Linked DNA regions of Macaca fascicularis. The protein of the gene in region 4 interacts with the protein of the main gene of each other region in a pairwise test. Links are inferred from orthologs where the notes say so. Each region holds a gene or a part of one and is shown on either strand. Other genes may lie near its edges.

Evidence for each region. The genes of interacting proteins can lie anywhere in the genome.
Region 1: the proteins of TRIM27 (region 4) and ILK interact in binary tests that used the Homo sapiens proteins (3 or more experiments, as listed by UniProt). The two-hybrid records come from large-scale screens. The link is inferred for Macaca fascicularis from reciprocal best matches to the Homo sapiens genes TRIM27 and ILK.
Region 2: the proteins of TRIM27 (region 4) and ATOSB interact in binary tests that used the Homo sapiens proteins (3 or more experiments, as listed by UniProt). The link is inferred for Macaca fascicularis from reciprocal best matches to the Homo sapiens genes TRIM27 and ATOSB.
Region 3: the proteins of TRIM27 (region 4) and SPATC1L interact in binary tests that used the Homo sapiens proteins (3 or more experiments, as listed by UniProt). The two-hybrid records come from large-scale screens. The link is inferred for Macaca fascicularis from reciprocal best matches to the Homo sapiens genes TRIM27 and SPATC1L.

Annotation. Positions count from the first base shown.
Region 1 is NC_088388.1:59,469,051-59,471,347, reverse strand, and holds the end of ILK (scaffold protein ILK), read left to right. Parts: coding exon 1-80; intron 81-222; coding exon 223-332; intron 333-435; coding exon 436-563; intron 564-654; coding exon 655-776; intron 777-862; coding exon 863-962; intron 963-1,074; coding exon 1,075-1,205; intron 1,206-1,388; coding exon 1,389-1,538; 3' UTR 1,539-1,797; downstream 1,798-2,297. Other genes in the region: TAF10 (transcription initiation factor TFIID subunit 10), read right to left, coding at 1,849-1,938, 2,116-2,230. UniProt on the Homo sapiens protein: Scaffold protein which mediates protein-protein interactions during a range of cellular events including focal adhesion assembly, cell adhesion and cell migration.
Region 2 is NC_088389.1:64,324,357-64,327,120, reverse strand, and holds the end of ATOSB (atos homolog protein B), read right to left. Parts: coding exon 2,663-2,764; intron 2,422-2,662; coding exon 2,353-2,421; intron 2,270-2,352; coding exon 2,094-2,269; intron 1,905-2,093; coding exon 1,727-1,904; coding exon of another isoform or gene 1,602-1,726; 3' UTR 501-1,601; downstream 1-500. UniProt on the Homo sapiens protein: Transcription regulator that may syncronize transcriptional and translational programs.
Region 3 is NC_088377.1:954,694-957,718, reverse strand, and holds the end of SPATC1L (speriolin-like protein), read right to left. Parts: intron 2,073-3,025; exon of another isoform or gene 1,969-2,072; coding exon of another isoform or gene 1,935-1,968; intron 1,426-1,934; coding exon 1,274-1,425; intron 1,063-1,273; exon of another isoform or gene 1,059-1,062; coding exon 732-1,058; 3' UTR 501-731; downstream 1-500.
Region 4 is NC_088378.1:144,252,550-144,256,813, reverse strand, and holds the start of TRIM27 (zinc finger protein RFP), read right to left. Parts: upstream 2,801-4,264; 5' UTR 2,450-2,800; coding exon 2,030-2,449; intron 797-2,029; coding exon 701-796; intron 1-700. UniProt on the Homo sapiens protein: E3 ubiquitin-protein ligase that mediates ubiquitination of various substrates and thereby plays a role in diffent processes including proliferation, innate immunity, apoptosis, immune response or autophagy.

The DNA of each region.
Region 1 (2,297 bases), on a different chromosome or scaffold from region 4:
GAACCCTGAACAAACACTCTGGCATTGACTTCAAACAGCTTAACTTCCTGACGAAGCTCAACGAGAATCACTCTGGAGAGGTGACCCCTGCCCTTCTTGCCCTTCCCTCACTAAACCCCCGTAAATTACCTGCTTTGTACCTGGTTTAAGTTTTTCCTCCAGTTAGAGGGCAAGGAAGTGGTAGCAACAGTAAAAGCCTCCTAACCTCTACCTATTCTTCAGCTATGGAAGGGCCGCTGGCAGGGCAATGACATTGTCGTGAAGGTGCTGAAGGTTCGAGACTGGAGTACAAGGAAGAGCAGGGACTTCAATGAAGAGTGTCCCCGGCTCAGGTAGTGCAAGGCGTAACCTGGAAGCTGCTAGTTCCAGGGAATCCTGAATAGCACTGAAAGAGATCTTTTATACTCTGTCTCAACCACTCCCTCCCTCTTCCAGGATTTTCTCGCATCCAAATGTGCTCCCAGTGCTAGGTGCCTGTCAGTCTCCACCTGCTCCTCATCCTACTCTCATCACACACTGGATGCCATATGGATCCCTCTACAATGTACTACATGAAGGCACCAGTGAGTAGAGATGTTGAATTTTCTTGGGGAGGAAATGGGAGAGAGGGTGCATGAGCCTCTCTGAACTATTTGAACTTTTGCTTCCTCTCAGATTTCGTCGTAGACCAGAGCCAGGCTGTGAAGTTTGCTTTGGACATGGCAAGGGGCATGGCCTTCCTACACACACTAGAGCCCCTCATCCCACGACATGCGCTCAATAGCCGTAGTGTAATGGTGAGGCCACAAGCTCACTCCTGGCCCAGGCCCCAAAAGTCCTTTGCCTATCTATGACTTACCTCCTTCTGTTTTCTCTTCCTCAGATTGATGAGGACATGACTGCCCGAATTAGCATGGCTGATGTCAAGTTCTCTTTCCAATGTCCTGGTCGCATGTATGCACCTGCCTGGGTAGCCCCTGAAGGTGGGTGAAGTCATCATGTTGGGAGGTGAAAAAGGATCACCTCAGAAGTAGTGGAAGGGGGCAGAGACAGGAAAGGCCAGGGGGCCAGAACAGACAAGCCCTATCCCTCTAGCTCTGCAGAAGAAGCCTGAAGACACAAACAGACGCTCAGCAGACATGTGGAGTTTTGCAGTGCTTCTGTGGGAACTGGTGACACGGGAGGTACCCTTTGCTGATCTTTCCAATATGGAGATTGGAATGAAGGTGAGAGCAGAACAGCATACATTTGTGTTGGGGGAGTGGTTGGTTATGGTGAAAATAACTGTAGTGGGCCTGGGCTCCTCCCATATTTGTTCGGATATACAGTTATCCTGTCCCAGGGGCCAGTGGCTTCTCTCTACATGACAGACTCAAATTGTGAGGCTCAGTTTTTTCTTGTATTCACAGGTGGCATTGGAAGGCCTTCGGCCTACCATCCCACCAGGTATTTCCCCTCATGTGTGTAAGCTCATGAAGATCTGCATGAACGAAGACCCTGCAAAGCGACCCAAATTTGACATGATTGTGCCTATCCTGGAGAAGATGCAGGACAAGTAGGACCGGAAGGCCCTTGCCTGAACTCCAGAGGTGTCAGGACATGGTTGGGGGAATGTACTTCCCCAAAGCAGCAGACCTCTGGTTGCCTCCCCTGCCTCCAGTCATGGTACTACCCCAGCCATGGGGTCCATCCCCTTCCCCCATCCCTACCACTGTGGCCCCAAAAGGGGCGGGCTCAGAGCTTTGTCACTTGCCACATGGTGTCTCCCAACATGGGAGGGATCAGCCCCGCCTGTCACAATAAAGTTTATTATGAAAACAGGCTGGTGTGGGGACATGGGGACAGACAAGTACATTTAGGTTGGGTGGCTCAGGTGAAGTAGTGCGGCTTCTTCACATTGATGCCATACTCGCTGAGGGCAGGGGTCAAGTCCTCCATGGTTAAAGTATACTTGCGGTCCTGAGGGAAGAGGGAAGAGCACCAACTGAGCACAGGAATCCCACACTTCAATCCCAGATGGGTGACCCTGAGTAAGTTTTACACCTCCCCTAGGATTCAGTTTCCCCAAAGGGGTGGCAGGATAAGCTTCCACTGTTGTGGAAGGTAATTAGTGATTCAATGAGCCTCCCCTCACACCTTGCTCTTGCTCCGGGAGCTGCCGGAGGCTGTGCCCTTCATTTTGCAGTGCTGTAGGGCATCATTGGCAATATCTGAGATGAATTTCTGGGCAGCTAGGGAGATGAGCCGAATTCTAGAGAGAAAAAACTTAGATGAGAAGGAGATGGACAACACACTGCACAAGCACCCAAAACTAACCT
Region 2 (2,764 bases), on a different chromosome or scaffold from region 4:
CTGGCGATTGGGACGAGATTTTCCCCTCCCCTCTTTCCTCAAAGACACTACAGCTCCTTCCCTCTCTTTCCAAGCAAGGTTTGTTATGCCCGGTCTTAAATACCGAGTCCGGCAAACAGCCTCAACGTTCAACCTTGTCTGGAGCACGTCACCTTGCACACATCCCTGATGTTCTGGTAGTCAAGAGACCTCCGTAGTCACCTCCATTTTACATATGAGGGCACTGAAGTTCTGAAGGGCTAAAGTCATTAACAGAACCAGTATCAGAATCCTGATCTACAATTCAGAATTCAGCTTCTAGGACTCAACTTTACCCACCAACTCCTCCGAAAGGAGCAAGACCAGGCCCCAGGAATCAGCAGGGGCTAGCCTAAGACCTCATGGGCCCAGGCCTGTTGCCTCCTCTCTGGTAGAAAGGGCTGAGTCCCAGCTCCAGGAAGGCCCTCTATCCCCCTTCGCACCCTCTCCCCAACAACAACAACAACAAAAGTAGAGCTTAGTTCAAGTTTCCAAACAAGAATTTATTCTTTCTTTTTTAATCTTTTTTTTTTCTAAAAAAAAGTACCAGGTACAATTTTTTCCTGTTTCTGATTTGCTTTGTTTTTTCAAGTTTCAGCAAATGCTTGTTCCCCTCAGCCCAGCCTCAGGAGTCAGGACTGAGGCTGGGTCAGAGTCTGGAGTGGGGAATGGGGTAATTTGGAACCACATGACTGAGTTTGAGGGGTGCCCCTCACCCCAGCTGAGGTAGGTGGGTCAGAGTCTGGCCAGGTGAGTGGAGGCACCCCAGTGCTTGGCCCTGACTCTGCCCCCTGGACACCTTCTTCAGTCAGGACCCCAAAGCAAGGAGACACAGGCAGGAGGAGAGGGACAACTGGAGTCTGGAGCCCTAGGTGAGGGGTGGTTAACCCCTGTGTGTGTGCATACATGTACACTCTCTCACACACACACACCACACAAAGACAAGCTCGTGTACACACACAAACGCCTAACTTGGCTTTCAGAGATAGGTCAGAGGGTAGGGGAAGTGAAGGGACTAGGGGAAGGGCAGGGGAAGCTGAGTCTTTGGCTACTGACTCAGTCCCTCTGGAATAGCCCCTCTTCCCTCAGCTGAGGGAGAGCAGTTCTCCTCCTACCCCCGGCGTAAGCCTCTTCAACTCTTGAGGTTGGAGCAATATCTGAGAGTGGGAAGGGGGGGGAGTGATGCCAATTATCAGGTGTGGGAGGTTACCAAGGCAATCCAATTTGAATAAATTATAAATTAAAAATAAATAAAATAATAAGTGGCCCCTGCCCAGGATGGGGAGGCAACGCTGGCATAACTTGCCTGGGAACTTGGGACAACCTCAGGGTAGCTCCGGTTCCTCCCTACCTAAGCTGGCCTGGGAAACCCAAGGGAGGGGACAGGCACATGGAGTACCCGAGTAGGGCAGGGTGTAGTAAGGATCAGAAGCTTTAAACACCCAAATAATCCATTTGGGCAAGAGCATGGTGAGGGCTTTAATTCAAGCCTGAAGGGTCTCTTGCTGTCTCTCCATATATGTTCTCTAAGATGGAGCAGGATGGGCAGGTCGTTAGGCCGCATGGATTCAGAGTGCTGGCAATCAGGGCAAAGGTGAATAACGTGGATTATGAGGGGCCTCGGTCACAGCCTGCAGTTCGTAAGGGAGCCCTGTGTCCAGCTCCAGGCTCCGGCGGGAAAAAAGCAGGCGGATATCTCCATGCAGGCTTAAGCGGCCTGAGCGGGAGCTCCGGAACCTGAGGAGGACAATGTTATCAAATTAAGAATCCAGGCTGGTCGCAGTAGCTCATGCCTGTAATTCCAGTGCTTTGGGAGGTCCAGGTGGGAGGACTGCTTGAGCCCAGGAGTTGGAGACCAGCCTGAGCAACATAGCAAGACTCTGTCTCTAAAAATAAATAAATAAATAAATAAATAAATAAATAAATAAATAAATATATACACACACACATACACACATACATAAAAATTTAAAAATAAACCAAGCAAGAATCCAAACAGTATCGAAGCAAGGAGAGATCCTCTTCAGGGAAGGGATACCTGGGCCTCCCCAGCCGTCCCTGGGCCCTCTCCTCACCTGAGGTGCAGCAAGTAGCAGAGGAGGCGGTGGGTGGGGTTAGCATTTCCCTCCTCACCCACAGGCACCAAAAAGAGGCGATGGCGAAGGAAGGTCATGTGGGCAGCAGGCATGTCCGAGAAGTCAAAGGTCACGAGGAACATCTTTACCACAGTCTGGTTGGGGTTAAATAAGGTCTGGGGACAGGACAGTCAAGGTTGGTACAGCCTGAGGGCTGCTTTCCTCTCTCCCCACTCCCACTCCCTCAGGGCAAACTCACCACTTGGATGGTGCCCACCTTGGGCACGCTGTAACCCTTCCTCCCCAGGGGGTTCAGATCCACGATGCCCTGGGAAGGCCAGGGAGCCATCAGTCAAGGTGGGGACTAGGAAAACTCTGAGCCCTAAATACATGTCCCTCTCCACAGTCTCTCACCCTGAACCTGCCCCTGCCCTACACTAGAGTTCTCCTCACCTGGCCCTGACTCACTCCTAGGTGAGGAATAAGTAAAAAATACCTCTTGCACCCAGCCCCGCCCCAATTCCTTATCCTCCTGATGAGCTGACTTTGGGGTTGGAGTCAAGGCATACCAGGAAGGGAGCCGGGGCATTTTGCTCAGAAACATCAAAGAATGTGACAGTGACAGGCAGCGTGACATGCTGGGGGCAGTATGACCCACTAGCTCCAATTTC
Region 3 (3,025 bases), on a different chromosome or scaffold from region 4:
CCCCATGGTCTCCGGGGCTCCCCTGTACTCGCCCACCCCCAGCACCCCCATGGTCTCCAGGGCTCCCCAGCGCTCGCCCACCCCCTGCACGCCCACGGTCTCGGGGCTCCCTGGCGCTCGCCCGCCTGCGTTGCCACCGCTCAGTCCTAAGGCCCCGGTTCACTGTAACGCTCGGCTGTTGCTCTTTCGAATTCTTCGAATTCTTCGCTTTTGAACAAGGGGCCGCGTTTCCATTTTGCCTGCAGGGGTGCGCAACCATCCGCCAGAACCAAATCCTTACCCCAGCTTGTCATTTGGGGAAACTCAAACTGGGACAGGACTCGTCGTCCCGGGCAGGAAAGCGGGTGGGTGCGGAGGCCCGGGGGAGGGGTGGGGAGGCGGAGAAGAAAGTGGGGAGCGGGGGTCCCTGCAGCCTGCGGCTCCTTCCCGGCTTCCCGCCAGGAGCACCGAGCGGCGCTTCCTGCAGGCGCCCTCCACGCCCTCAAAGAGCCAGAGTTTGGTAAAGGCAGACAAGCAAACGGATGATTTAATGAGGGGTGACAAGCACTCCGCAGGTGCGGGCGGCGGCGGGCTGCGGTCGGGGCCCAGCGCGGGCGGGAGAGGCGCCTGCTCCGGCCTCGCGCGCGGGGAGCGCGGCCCTTTCCCCTCCGGGAGGACGCGCAGGAGGCACCACGGCCTCCGGGTTGGAACAAACGCGTTTACTGCAGGCAAGGCGGTGGGCGCGGGGCGGCTCACCAGGCGAAGAGTGGCTTGCTGTCCTCCTTGGAGAGCTCGCACAGGCAGTTGAGCAGCAGCAGCGAGTCGCCCAGGAACTTGGGGGGCACCACGTCGATGACCAGCTTGCGCAGCGCGGCCGGGCTGCTGTGCAGGGGGTTGGCGCGCAGGTCGGGCCGCTGCTTCAGGATTCCGTAGGTGTTGATGAGGAACTCGCTGAACGCCGGGTGCACGTCGCGGCTGTAGCCCAGCTTCTCCAGGCGCGCGCTCAGGGCCAGGTAGCGCTGCGTCAGCTCGCGCAGCTTCTTCTCGTCCACGGAGCCGTCCAGGGACTTGATGGAGGTCTGCGGGCGCAGCGCATGGATGGCGGAGGCGGGGGGATCTCGGGGCCCTCGGACGGGGACTTCCAGGCCCAGGGCCGACCCCTGCCCCGCCCTCCTGGGTCCCCGGGGTCCCCTCCCGCGGACAGCGCCCGGGCAAGAGCCAAGATCTGGGGGCCTCACAGGGATGAACCGAGCGCCCAGCACCCTCCTGGCCGCGCCCTCCCCGCGGGGCGCACCTGCTTGATCTTCTCGGGGATGTTGGCCACCGTGAAGCCGTAGAGCCGCGTCACGCCCGGAAACACGTAGGCCAGGATGCGGCGGTCCAGCTGGAAGGCGATCTCGCCCACCACGCGCGCGTCCTTCTCGGCGCCCGCGAAGCTCTGGATCTCTGGGGGAGGGAAGGCCGGGGACAAGGTCACGGGAGCGCGAGGATCTATTGCCCCAGAGGGTCCCCCCCTCCGTCCCCCGGCACTTGGGGGGCGGCTCCTCCATCCCCCACCCCGCCCCGCCTGCCGCCACCCCCCACTGTCTGGCAAATAGAATCTGAAAGAAAAGGAGCTTCTTAAAGTGCCAAAGGGCAAGACAGGTTTCCCTTCGCCCTGTCCTCGGCTCCCTTCTGTCCCTTTGGGACGAGGTAAACCTTTTAATCTTGAGGGTGGGAACTGGTCCCCTGTCACGGGGGAGCCTGCCCCAGCGCTGGCCCTGCGAGGACAGAGGAACCCGGCCCTGGAGGTGTGAGTTCGGACGGGTCCCCTCCAGTGAGGACGCCTGCGGAACAGGGCCAGTCGGCTTGCCTGGGAGGAAGGGGGACCTCCCCCCTTCCTCTGTCTTGGCAACCTCTGGGCCTCAAAGGCTGCTTTAATGTTTAGTCAGTAAAATGGCTTCATTCTTTCCTACCTCTGAGAAGATGATCGCTGGATTGGCAGGACATTCTTTTTTTTAAGCTGCAGTCTCACTCTATCATCCAGGCTGGAGTGCAGTGGTGCCAACTCCACTCACTGCAACCTCCGCCTCCCCGGCTCAAGCGATTCTCCTGCCTCAGCCTCCCGAGTAGCTGGGACTATAGCTGCGTGACACCACACCCAGCTACGTTTTTGTATTTTTAGTAGAGATGGGGTTTCACCATGTTGGCCAGGCTGGTCTCGAACTGCTGACCTCAGGTGATCCGCCCGCCTGGGCCTCCCATAGTGCTGGGATTACAAACGTGAGCCACCATGCCTGGCCCAGGACGTTCTATTTTAATTACTTCCTCGACATTACTTAGGAGTCTCCAATGGCCCCACAAAACCTGCTTCCAAACCCCCCTCCCCAGGACAGCCTCTGATGGCATCCGAGTCCATAACAGCACATGACCTTGTCCATCTTTTTCCTGAGGGATGGGAAACAGCATCTCATTTGCATTTCACTAACAACTAGTGATTTAAGCATCTTCGCACATGCTTATTGGCCATTTATATACTGTATCTTCTTTGAAGAAATATCTATTCAGGTCCTATAGCGATTTTTCATTGGATTGTTTGTCTTCTTACTGTTGAATTGTCAGAGTTCTTAAATATTCTGCATACTAGTCCCATTTCAAATGCACAATTTACAAATGTTTTCTCCCATTCTCTGGGTTGGCTTTTCATTTTTTTGATACTGTCCTTTGAAGCACAAAATTTGTTTTTTGTTTTGTTTTACTTTTGATGAAGTCCAATTTGTCTGTTTCTCTCTTTGCTCATGCTTCTGGTGTGCTATCTAAGAATCCATTACCAAATCCAAGGTCATGAAGATTTACCCCTATGGCTTTTCTACGAGTTTTCTGGCCTCAGCTCTTTGGGACCTTTTAGGTCTTTTATCCATTTTGAGTTAATTTTTGTATGTGCTATGGAATAAGGCCCAGCTTCATTCTTTGGCATATGGATACCTCCTTGTTCCAGCACCACTTGTTAAACAGTATTCTGTCCCTACTAAATTGTCTTGGCACTCTTGTTGAAAACCATCTATGT
Region 4 (4,264 bases):
ATGGTGAAACCCCATCTCTACTAAAAATACAAAAATCAGCTGGGTGTGTTGGTACATGCCTGTAGCCTCAGCTACCTGGGAGGCTGAGGTGGGAGAATCACTTGAAATGTGAGGCAGAGGTTGCAGTGAGTCGAAACCTTGCCATTGCACTCCAGCCTGGGTGACAGAGTGAGACCCTGTCGGAAATAAAAAGAAAAAATTCCCATATACCCCTATCATAAATTAATACATCAGCCACTTGTCGAGGCCTTGAGAGATTGGAGGAAGAGAGCAGAGCAAAAAATTCAGAATTAAGGCATTGTCAAGAAAGGAGAATAACACAAAGAGAAGCAACAGTGGGACTTACACAAATCCACTATTAGCACTTGTCTGAAGAATGGTAACAACGCAAGCTAACTGTATCCAATAATTTTACCCATCTCAGCTTTGCCAAGGATCAACCTTGGTCTACGCAGTTAGCAGGTTAAACTATACTGACAGGTCTGATTTCCAAGGGTTCCAAACTTGGCTCCTCCACGCTTTCCCCAAAAGAAAGGGAATCTCTTAGTTCTCTGGGTGAGTTCCCACTGCCATGTGCAGTTGATCCCCCTCTACCTACAGGTTCTGGGTGACATGCTGGACAAGTCTAAGGGAAGTAACATCAGCTCTACAGAAGAGGGGAGCACCAGCAGAAGCGACTGTGAATTCCAACAACCCTTACCAAGAGTTCAGCTCGTGCCTGTTCCCCTTGGGCCCGACGTCTCTTCTTTAAATCTTTCACTCTTTTTAAATGGTCAAGCTGGTTCTGGATTTGCTCCTGAGAAAAGCAAAACAGATGGGCAGTTCAAAACTAGGTAGACCTTAGCATCAGCATGGTACTTCTAATCACACATGGAGTCCACACACCTGATGCCAAGTATCCAGTTGGCACTTGTTCTCAGGCCACACTGCCACCCACAAGAGAAAGACTCAGGGCGCAGGGGCCAACAAGCCACTCATTTGGCAATTTGTGTCTATCTTAGCAGCCTGTCGCTTCAACCACTCAGCTACCTCGTCAGGATTATTTGTGTCTATCTTAAACAATGAATCATCTACCTGTCCCTGGTAGGATATCGCATGACTTAGCGGAACTGTGACTGGAGTAGGAGGCTTAGAGTTATGTTGTATTGTAGCTCTTCCACACAAGCATACTGTGAAAGTGACTTCTTATTTCCCTCATGTGTGAAATGGGCAAACACCATCTTCCCAACCTACTCAAGAGTTCTCACCAGAGTAAGTGAAAGAATATAGCTGAAAGGTCCATAAATGTTAAGTGATTAATTACACATGAATGTATTCATATTTAAACACGGACATAATTGTGTATGAATTCCTGAAGCCCTCAACATACAGAAAATACACAGTATCATGGACTCCTTGAAGGTCACCTTACAACTGTTTTATATGTAATATTTTGTTTCCACGTTTCTGTTTAGCTGTGCCAGTTCACAGAGGGCTCTGTGCATCACATGATTCCATAATCTTCCTCATAACTGTTATCTCCTGAGTCTCAGAGTGGTTAAATGACTTAAGCAGTGAAGAGCCTGTTCTTTTCTGTGAGTTTCTAGACCAGGACGTATTGCAGGAAAGTGCTGGGGAAATGCTTATAGACCAAGGAATGGGCATCGGTCAGTTAATGTCCGACTGCGTTTTGTCTGACAGCCGACGAGAGTACATGTGTCTCTACAGCTCGTCGATGTGCAAGCGATTTTATGCACTTCTTTTATACTGTCAAAAGCATGTCTCCGTGTACAATGTGTCCGTGAGACAGGAAACATGGGGGCACACAGAGAAAGGAGAGTGGGGGTGGGGAGACTTCTGGCTCCCTCGCCAGCTACAGGTTTTCCTCCAAATCTGAGTGCTGAGGCTCTGGAGCGGACAGAGAGGAAATGACGGCTGTGAACCACACGTCCGGCTCAGCCATTTTCTAGGCGGAAAAAGGGAAGCCCCTTTGGCTCTCTCCTCCCTTTGTCCGACTCGCGTTCCCGCCCTCCCGGATCCGCGCCCTCACCTTGAAGCCCTCCACTGCCTCCTCGAGCGGCAGCACGCTGTGGCCGCGGTGCTCGCGGGAGCGGTCGCACACCACGCAGATGGGCATCTGGTCCTCCTCGCAGTAGAGCTTCAGGGGCTCGCGGTGTTTCTCGCACACGCCCATCTCGCCGCCGGGCCCCGACGGCCGCTCGGTGCGCAGCTGCTTCACCAGCTGGGTCACGTTGGCCAGGTGCCGGTTGGGCCGCATGTGCCTCTGCGGGAAGGTCTCCCGGCACTGCGGGCACGACACGTTAGTCTCTGCCGTGCCCCAGCAGCGGGCGAGGCACGCGCAACAGATGTTATGGCCGCAGTCGAGCATCATGGGCTCTGCGAAGTACTGCAGGCACACGGGGCAGGTGGTCTCCTGCTGCAGGCACTCGGCCACGCTCCCGGAGGCCATGGCGCGGGCCTGCGGGGGCTCACGGGCATGGGCCCCGGCGCCGAGCTCTGCACGGAGCCCAACTCTCCGGCGCTCTCTCCCGTTCGCTGTTCCTGGGAGGCACCGGGCGGACGGAGGGCGGTGCCTCCCGGGCCCGTATCCCAGACGCGCCCGCGCACCGAAGGCTCAGAGTGGCCGGGCCGATCCCTGCGCCTGTGCCCCCTGAGCGAGTGCGGGAATACAGCCGGCTCACAGAGACTCGCGGCCACGTTACTGGGGCAGGAACGGGTAGCCAAGGGTCAGGATCCCAGGGCCAGGCGCGCAAAGCGCGCAAGACAACGTGGCCGCGTCCGAGCGGATCCCGGCGGCCGCGTAGACCCCACCCCGGCGCGAGCGGAAGAGGCGGCTCGGGGGGCGGGGCTTGGCCCGCGCTTATAGTGTGTGACAAGATTTCGTGGCCTCGGGGCCCGGGCTGCTTTCTCTAGAAAGGCCTGGGAGGCTCCGCCACTCTCCCTTGGGCGGGTCGCGCCGAAGCTCTAGCCTAGGGGACTGGTCACAAAAGCAGATGGTGCCACACGCTCCGGGCCTACAATCTTCCGCGACTGCCGGGCCCAGGCCCCTAGTGTTTAGTTGGGTTTCTTCTTGGTGCCCAGGTCTCAGCCCCTGCTAAAGATGGCTTTGGCCGCGCGCAGTGGCTCACGCCTGTAATCCCAGCATTTGGGAGGCCGAGGCGGGTGGATCACGAGGTCAGGAGATCGAGACTATCCTGGCCAACATGGTAAAACCGCATCTCTACTAAAAATAGAAAAATTAGCCGGGCGTGGTGGCAGGCGCCTGTAGTCCCAGCTACTTAGGAGGCTGAGGCAGCAGAATCGCTTGAACCCTGGAGGCGGAGGTTGCAGTGACCCGAGATCGCCACTGCACTCCAGCCTGGGCGACAGAGCGAGACTCCGTCTTGAAAAAAAAAGAAAAGAAGAAAGAAAGCTGGCTTTATATAGGTGCTGGGGAGCGCAGACATCTGGCTTCCCCAAGAGGCTGGAGGATGAGGAGGGTCACCGTCTGAGCCCACCTGATAGGTGAGGCCTTTTATTAAACAGACCCATTTGTAGGCACTTGCAGTTTTGTTTAGAAAAAGAAAGGTTTAATTATCAGATGGTAACATTTCTGTGTGGCAATAACAAGCCCAGCTCTGCTACCTCTCACTTGTGCCCAAGCAAGTTGGTTTACCATTCATTTACCTCAGTTTCTCCTCGTGTGAAATGGGGATGATAACTGTACCGCCGTAAAGAAGTAGATTTCGTTACATCTTTTACTTTTTGAACCATAAGGTTGTTTATCCATTAAAATAGTAACAAAATGCCCATTACATAGGGTTGTTGTATTGAGGAGCAACTAAAAATTGCTTGCTCCTTTCTGAAGTATAGAGAGACTAAGAATCCTACAGTGACCCAGGGTCTTGGAGTCCCACAATACTCGTTGTCTTATCATGCAGTAGACCTCCAGCATTTTTAAGTTGCTTTCTTATCCCTTGCTTGATGTCTCCTGCTTTTCTTTGAGATTTTCTCAATATTGTCCTGCTATCTGAGCAATACGGGCTTCTGCTTCCAGACCTTACTTGATTTTTATTTTATTTTTTCAAAGTGAAAGTACGTTTATTAAGAAAGTAAAGGAATAAAGAATGGCTACTCCATAGGCAAAGCAGCCCACATCATCACTTTAGAGTTCCCCTCTGGTCCTCTTCCCCATGGGACAAGAAGTCTGAGGGACTAAGTGCACTTGCCAACCCCAAACCCACATCCACCTTGCAACCATACTCTGAGTACCCAGTCGTTCAAA